Linked DNA regions of Arabidopsis thaliana. The protein of the gene in region 2 interacts with the protein of the main gene of each other region in a pairwise test. Each region holds a gene or a part of one and is shown on either strand. Other genes may lie near its edges.

Region 1 (4,584 bases), on a different chromosome or scaffold from region 2:
AATCGATCGAATCGTAATGAACCTTACAAAAAAATCATAAAATTTGAAGTTGATATATAAATTTTAATCTAGAGATGTTAACTTTTTGGATTAATCTGGAAGCGACCTGTTTTAAGTTGTTTCAAAACTATTAGGACCGAAACCAAATAGAATCGAGCAAAAAATGTTAGAAATTTTTATTTTATTTTGTGTTCTTTAGGTTAACCAAATGTTCGTTCATGGTGTAAGATATCAAATAATGGATGAGCTTAACCTCTAAAATACAAGTTTAAATTGATCGGTTCAAATCGGACCGAACTTAAATGATTTTGCAAGTTATTAGAGTGATCATGATCATGTTATGTTACGGAATATTACAGAGTAACTTAACTTAAGCACTGACTTAGTTGACCCAAAAAGAGACCATTGACTTCATGAAATGCTTGAGTGTGGAAAAAATAAAACAGAGTTATTCAAAAACGTTTTGAGTTGTGAATTATTCTCATTAACATTGTATTTATTTGGTGCACAAAAAAAAAAAAAAAAAAAATTGTATTTATTTATACCCACTAAAGATGGGAAGAAGACTTGTAAATTATGATGAAAAGTCCCTCGGTTGGTAGCAACTAGCAAATGTGGGGATGGAACAATCCTCCACGTTCGAAATTGTTCTTCTTTAGCACAATCAAGATACTGCAAAGTAAACTACCTCTAATGTAATTAATTAACCTCACAAATTGTTATGTTAATTAATGGTATTGAATTATACTCGTCGATCTTTTGTAAGATATTTTTGTTGAATGCCGAAAAAATTATCAGAATCTATAATTGATGTTTTTGTTTAAGAGTCAATTTGGGAGAATGAGTTAAATTACTATAGAATACAAGTATACATCACATCAAATAATATGAATAATTCACTAAACAATGAAGGAGTAGTTACTAGTCACTCTCTTTTATTTATTTTTAATTAAAAAACGAATATATATGTTATTGTAGTTTAATACTATTAATAAAATAAAATTCTATTACTTCACTTAGCTAAAAGACCCACAGTGCAGTAACAGTGAGAAGTAAATTTCATGAATAATGTATTACAATACAATAATAACTTGTTCGATACAAAGTATTATTCCTTTCACAAACTAAATTTATTTACCATATATCCATAATATAATTCCAAAAATAGTATGTTTTATTACCATATTGTAAAAGGGAAAAATGTCATTTAAATCATCACTTTACCATTTTCGTTGGTTTAAAACATAAACTCTCGATTTGGTGATTTAAATCCTCAATTTTATGTTGACGTTTAATTTAATCACGAATTCTCGTTAACTAAGCCAATTAAGACACATCGTTAAAAAATTTTCTAATTAAAATTTTTGAGTTTTTCTCTATTTTTCTTCAGAATCTCTTATCTTCTTTGGAATTTCTCTTCTTATTCGAATTCAAAGTAATCTTTCATCTTTAGGTCGATTGACGATACCGGGAAAAAAAATTGTGTCTCAATTGGCTTAGTCAACGAGAATTTGTAATTAAATTGAAAATCAACATCAAATTAAGAATTTAATTCACAAGATCCAAAATTCATACTTTAAACCAACGAAAATGATAAAGTGATAATTTAAAAAACATTTTCCTTATCCCTATTGTAAAACTATTTTCACCAATCTTAACCGAAAAAATGAAATAAAACTGTCCAAAAAAAAAAAACCAAATGCTAATAAAAAACGAATTTAATTTCCCATCTTCGTTTTTTTTCTTTCTTTTAATGCTTTAATAAATTTTTATTGAGATCTGTGTTTGAACAATCGTTTCTTAAAAGATTTTTAACATCTTTTTAAATTCCTCGGTCTCTTAAATTTACCAGTTACATAACTTTCTTTTATTTTTCCGACATAAATTAAAAGTTTTGTCTTTGGTAATAGAGAGGCAGAAAAATCTTGGCCATAGATTTGTCATCTGTTTTCGATTCGTTTTGATTCTTTACTTTATCTTCTTCTTCTTCTTCTTCTTCCTCTTTTTGAATCTTTTATCTTCTCACTTTTCTTTTTCACTTTTGGGAAGCTCGAAGAGCTGAGAGGAGTGTGAGAGAGAAAAGGATCTTTGAAGTCGCCGGAATAATTTGTTTAACCGGAGCTCTGTCTTTGACTCTACGCTTCTCTCTCTTCTTCTTCCTTCTTCGTCTTCTTAATCGCTTTCTGCTCTGTTTTTCTCGTTCATCAAGCTACATCTACTAGCTCTCTCAGTGATTGATTTCTCACAGTTTCATCGATTTCCATGCGTTTAAGACCTAAAAGGTAACTGGGTTTGCTAAAGTTTGTTACTTTGAATGGTTTTTATAGTTTCTCTGTTCGAATCTGAAGTGGGTTGTTGTGTTTTTGCTGGTTATTGAAACAGGACTTGTTCTGGGGTAAAGGACTTTTCTTGTTCTTGAGAGAGTTCATTTTGAGGCTTTTCTGGGAATTTTGAGAGGTTTTTTAGGGTTTAAGGGGGTTTGGTTTTGAATTTCGCACACCAAGTGTTCGATAAAATGGCTGAACGAAAGAAACGCTCTTCTATTCAAACCAATAAACCCAACAAAAAACCCATGAAGAAGAAACCTTTTCAGCTAAATCACCTCCCAGGTTTATCTGAAGATTTGAAGACTATGAGAAAACTCCGTTTCGTTGTGAATGATCCTTACGCTACTGACTACTCATCAAGCGAAGAAGAAGAAAGGAGTCAGAGAAGGAAACGTTATGTCTGTGAGATCGATCTTCCTTTCGCTCAAGCTGCTACTCAAGCAGAATCTGAAAGCTCATATTGTCAGGAGAGTAACAATAATGGTGTAAGCAAGACTAAAATCTCAGCTTGTAGCAAAAAGGTTTTACGCAGCAAAGCATCTCCGGTCGTTGGACGTTCTTCTACTACTGTCTCGAAGCCTGTTGGTGTTAGGCAGAGGAAATGGGGTAAATGGGCTGCTGAGATTAGACATCCAATCACCAAAGTAAGAACTTGGTTGGGTACTTACGAGACGCTTGAACAAGCAGCTGATGCTTATGCTACCAAGAAGCTTGAGTTTGATGCTCTGGCTGCAGCCACTTCTGCTGCTTCCTCTGTTTTGTCAAATGAGTCTGGTTCTATGATCTCAGCCTCAGGGTCAAGCATTGATCTTGACAAGAAGCTAGTTGATTCGACTCTTGATCAACAAGCTGGTGAATCGAAGAAAGCGAGTTTTGATTTCGACTTTGCAGATCTACAGATTCCTGAAATGGGTTGCTTCATTGATGACTCATTCATCCCAAATGCTTGTGAGCTTGATTTTCTCTTAACAGAAGAGAACAACAACCAAATGTTGGATGATTACTGTGGCATAGATGATCTGGACATCATTGGTCTTGAATGTGACGGTCCAAGCGAACTTCCAGACTATGATTTCTCAGATGTGGAGATCGATCTTGGTCTCATTGGAACCACCATTGACAAGTATGCTTTCGTTGATCATATCGCAACAACTACTCCCACTCCTCTTAATATCGCGTGCCCATAAGTTTTGCAGCTAGGTGTTATTATTAGCTATAGGAGCAACGTAAAAAGCTCGTTGTTACTCGGTTTTGTCTTAAGTTATTAAAGTATAGCAGAGGCAGTTAATCTCAAGGGAAGCAAAAACCCTAAAGATAGAAGCAGATGCAGTTTTGTGTGTTGGTGTTACTAAAGAAAGTTTTGTTGACATAATGGTTTTGATGTTGTGGAGAAGATAGAGAGGTGTGATCGAAATTGTAAATCTCAGGTGGTTTTTTTTGAAGGCAATTGTTTCTCATTTAGGGTTTTTTTCTATATGAGGATTGTCTTTGAAAAGCCTTTAGATGTTTTCTAATTCGTAAGCTCTCTCAATCTTTGTAAGTTTTGCCTGTTGAGTTATTGATACATATGTGAGACCTACTTTATTTGTTTTGTGCTACATACATTGTTGATGGTTTCGTCCTCTGCTCTTGTTAAGTCATTGTTACCAATGTTTGATTGCTGTTTCTTTCGGGTTGATTCAGTCAGACATGAAGATAACTAGATAAACCGTTTGTTCTCTGCAATCACTACCTATAGAGTTAGGGTTTAGGCTTATCCTCTTTTTGCATTATATCAGTAAAGTTTTCTTTAAAAGTTATGTGAACAAAAACACATAATGCAAGATAGAGAGGTTAATGGGTTTGGTTGATGATAACAGTAGGACAAATTATCACCGCTCTAATTGCGTTGGTTCTTAAACCATTTCTTTTATAATATTTAATATTTGATCTAATTTTCTTAAAGCAACCTTTGCGTATATTACAAGTCTTGCCAAAATTTTCAACTAGTTCCATCTTTGATATAAAGAGTATATAGTGGTGTGTTCTTTTGTGTCAAGCCATCTCTCAACTTCAGACTGTAGCTGCTTTTGGATTTTATTAGTTTCGTTTTAGTGAACAGAATTATGGATATACATTGAATTGAACGTGCATATTCATTTTGTTTTTGTTTTTTCAACAAATTAAAATGAATTCTAAGATGTTTTTGTTTTTTTGTTAATTGAATTCTTAAGATGTTGACAGAAAATAAATTGAAGTCTTAAGAATAATTGATTTG
Region 2 (3,375 bases):
GAGAAGTGAATCTACCAGAGTTGCCTAGTGAGTTCTCACCATCGCCACCATTAAAGACAACGAGGAAGCAGCGCCGTTGACTAATTTAGGAATCATTTTGATTATTATTATTCAAGTGTTACACCGCTAGTTTTAGGAACTTTGATTCAATTTCACTATACTTTCCAATTTCTCTTTCTATAGTTTCACACGCATTATTGACATTGATTTTTTTTTTACACGTTTATACTTCGATGTCAATATGTCATACAACACTTCTTCAAATCGGAGTTGCTCGGGATTGGATTATTAGCAGAAAGAAAAGGCTAAAACTTTTTCCACCTCCAAAAGTCATTTAAAGGTCACACAAATCCTATGGGCCTAATCAGTTAACAAACCACTTCCAATCGAGTTAAATGAAATGAAGATACCAAATTGGGTCACGTTAGGAGTCAGCAGTTTGTGTTCTTTATATATGGACATGGGCCATCTTCGATTTTTCTTATTCGTTTCTACTTAAAATCACCAAGATTTATTGAATTTTTCTTCTTATTATTATTTGGCCCTTATATAGAGTATGGTCTATCCATAATTTGGCCCAGTTTTTTAAAAATACTAGATATTTGGAACATGCATGCTTTTTATTTTTAAATGTATCAGATTCAGATGAAACTCAATTATTAAAAAAAAAATCATACATAAACAGTTTAAAATATTTACTACTACTTAATTATTTTCGGATTAAGAAATCCCTTATAACATTTCATAAAACATAGTATTCTGCATTTTTTCAAAAAGTTGTTGTAATGTTTAGAAAACAAATTGAAAATGCAACAGTTTTTAATGAATAAATGCAAGGCGTTATAGAATGTTGGTTTGTTTTTCATTTTAAGTGTTTTTCAATATTTTAAATAATAACAACAACAAAAATCATTTGCTTTCGACTAGAAACAATGACTTATATCATTGCTTATACGAGTGCATGTTACAATCGTATGTGGCGGTTAGTCATCCTACTTGGCTCGATCGATGGTGTATTTGCTGAGGAAAGGGCTTTGTGTTCTGATTAAATTTGAGTTTTGATGGTAGTATGGCTTGAGTAAAGGTTGAGGATGTTGTTTCATTTTCATATGTCTGGCTCTTTCACCTCTTTGGTGGGTATGTGTTGTATCAAACAATCGTCTCTTAATACAATACCAGTTGACAAAAAAAGAGCAGTAACTAATTCTTATAAACTATAGTACATTATTTCCTATATATTTTATAACATAAAATAAATCATATTTTCTCATAATTTAAAGTGCTATTCAATGATTTTTAGGAATACGATCCAGCATATGGCCTTGCAGTCTATAGTATATATAAAAATAATTATATGGTACCTATGTCAGAGATATCTAGGATATATAGTAGATCGTCGTACAATTGATATATCATATAGTATGTGTATACAATAAGAAAATAAACATATAAATTGTACGATCTCTAAAGAATACTTTAAAAATGATAAATATTAAGATATGGAATGTTGAAGGGAACCTATTAAAAAGAGAAGAAATTAATGATGAAGCAGAAAGACGTCATTGCTTACCCTAACAAACCTCTCTCTCCATCTTTTTCCGATACGTCTACCAATAACTTAGTATTTTTTTCTCTTAGTTTTTAATATTATAACCAAACCCTTTTACTATCTTTTTTCCGACTCCCATATCTTTTTTTTTTCCGACTCCCATATTATTCAACTTTACAACAAATCCCTGACTAGAGCAAATCCCAGAGCACAAGATCAGATCCTTCTGTCTCATCATCATCATCATTATTATAATCATAATTACAAGAAGAATCGTTGTTCAAAATAATTAACGTATAACGACTTCTAGATGAATAATTTTCAGGAGAAGAAAAGAAGGCGTAGTAAAACGCCGAGAGTTTGTAATAACGAAGAAAACATGGAGAAGTTAGTACATAAAGAAATTGAGAAACGAAGGAGACAAGAAATGGCTTCTCTCTACGCGTCTCTCCGCTCTCTTCTCCCTTTAGAGTTCATCCAGGTCAAAACCCTAATTACTCTTGCTTTTAATTTCTTCCTCTTCTTCTTCTTTTTTTTTTGTTAAGGAAAAAGTCCACAAGTATGCTTTGTCGCTTAGTTTGTTAAAAAGATTCACTAGAACTCTAACACTCTATCATCACAATATCTCAAGTTGACCTCTACACCTTAATTACGTTTGATTTGGTTTTGTAGGGAAAACGTTCAACGTCAGATCAGGTGAAAGGGGCAGTGAATTACATAGACTATTTGCAAAGGAATATCAAAGACATAAATTCCAAGAGAGATGACCTCGTGTTATTGTCTGGACGAAGCTTTAGGAGTAGTAATGAACAAGAATGGAATGAGATTTCGAATCATGTCGTGATTCGTCCGTGTTTGGTCGGCATAGAGATAGTGTTGAGCATTCTCCAAACGCCATTCTCAAGCGTTCTGCAAGTGCTTCGTGAACACGGTCTCTATGTTCTTGGCTACATCTGTTCCAGTGTAAATGATAGACTCATTCATACTCTACAGGCTGAGGTACAATATCTCGAGCTTACTAACTTTACAGCAATCGAAGCATTACTAACTTTACTAAGAATATAGAGAAATACTTAATCATAACATATATTTCTAACTAACTTTACTAAGAATATAGAGAAATACTTAATCATAACATATATTTCTAACTTTGTTAATGTTTTCGATCTTGTCGGCTTACAAACGCGTTTATGTCCTAATTTGGAATGGAATATAGAATATAGCATACATCTTCTTCATAGCTTTTTGGAATGGCTTATTGTATCAGAGTAATGAATATATATGTTTGAGTTAATATGTGAAGTTGATTTGCCTTATGTTGAGTTAATATGTGAAGTTGATTTGCCTTATGTTGCAGGTCAACGATCTGGCTTTGATCGACTTAGCAGACCTTAAGGATACACTTACCCTGATGAAGTAATTCAAATAATCAAACGTTTTTTTTCAGTAGATTCCTTTTAACTTCTCAAACCAAAACGATGTATATATATGGTTCTTAGTACTTTTACTGTGTATTTATCTAGCTACTTTAAAGAATTTGTGCGTAAGAAACTAATGCTAGCTAGCTTTAATATCACAACCATCTCTTACATATTATATAAACTATGGTCCATCTAAACTTTTTCTTTATCATTGATGTTTTGACTATCTTGTTTATTCACAGAAAAAAATCTTCATTTTGAAAATTTGATTAAATATCTTATGAAAACAAATTATCTTTCAAGAAAATATATTAGTTTACTCTATCTTTTGTTCATTAGGGACAATGACTATTATTTTGAGGATTACCGCATGAGGCCTTCTTATTTCTAGACGTCTCTGCTCCT

What was found.
Region 1: the proteins of AT4G25400 (region 2) and CRF11 interact in a two-hybrid assay, tested with the Arabidopsis thaliana proteins (one large-scale study listed by BioGRID).

Annotation. Positions count from the first base shown.
Region 1 is NC_003074.8:9,473,537-9,478,120, forward strand, and holds CRF11 (Integrase-type DNA-binding superfamily protein), read left to right. Parts: upstream 1-1,875; 5' UTR 1,876-2,282; exon of another isoform or gene 2,283-2,382; 5' UTR 2,383-2,515; coding exon 2,516-3,514; 3' UTR 3,515-4,054; downstream 4,055-4,584.
Region 2 is NC_003075.7:12,979,367-12,982,741, forward strand, and holds AT4G25400 (basic helix-loop-helix (bHLH) DNA-binding superfamily protein), read left to right. Parts: upstream 1-1,670; 5' UTR 1,671-1,859; coding exon 1,860-2,030; intron 2,031-2,221; coding exon 2,222-2,614; 3' UTR 2,615-2,870; downstream 2,871-3,375. Other genes in the region: AT4G25390 (Protein kinase superfamily protein), read left to right, coding at 1-80.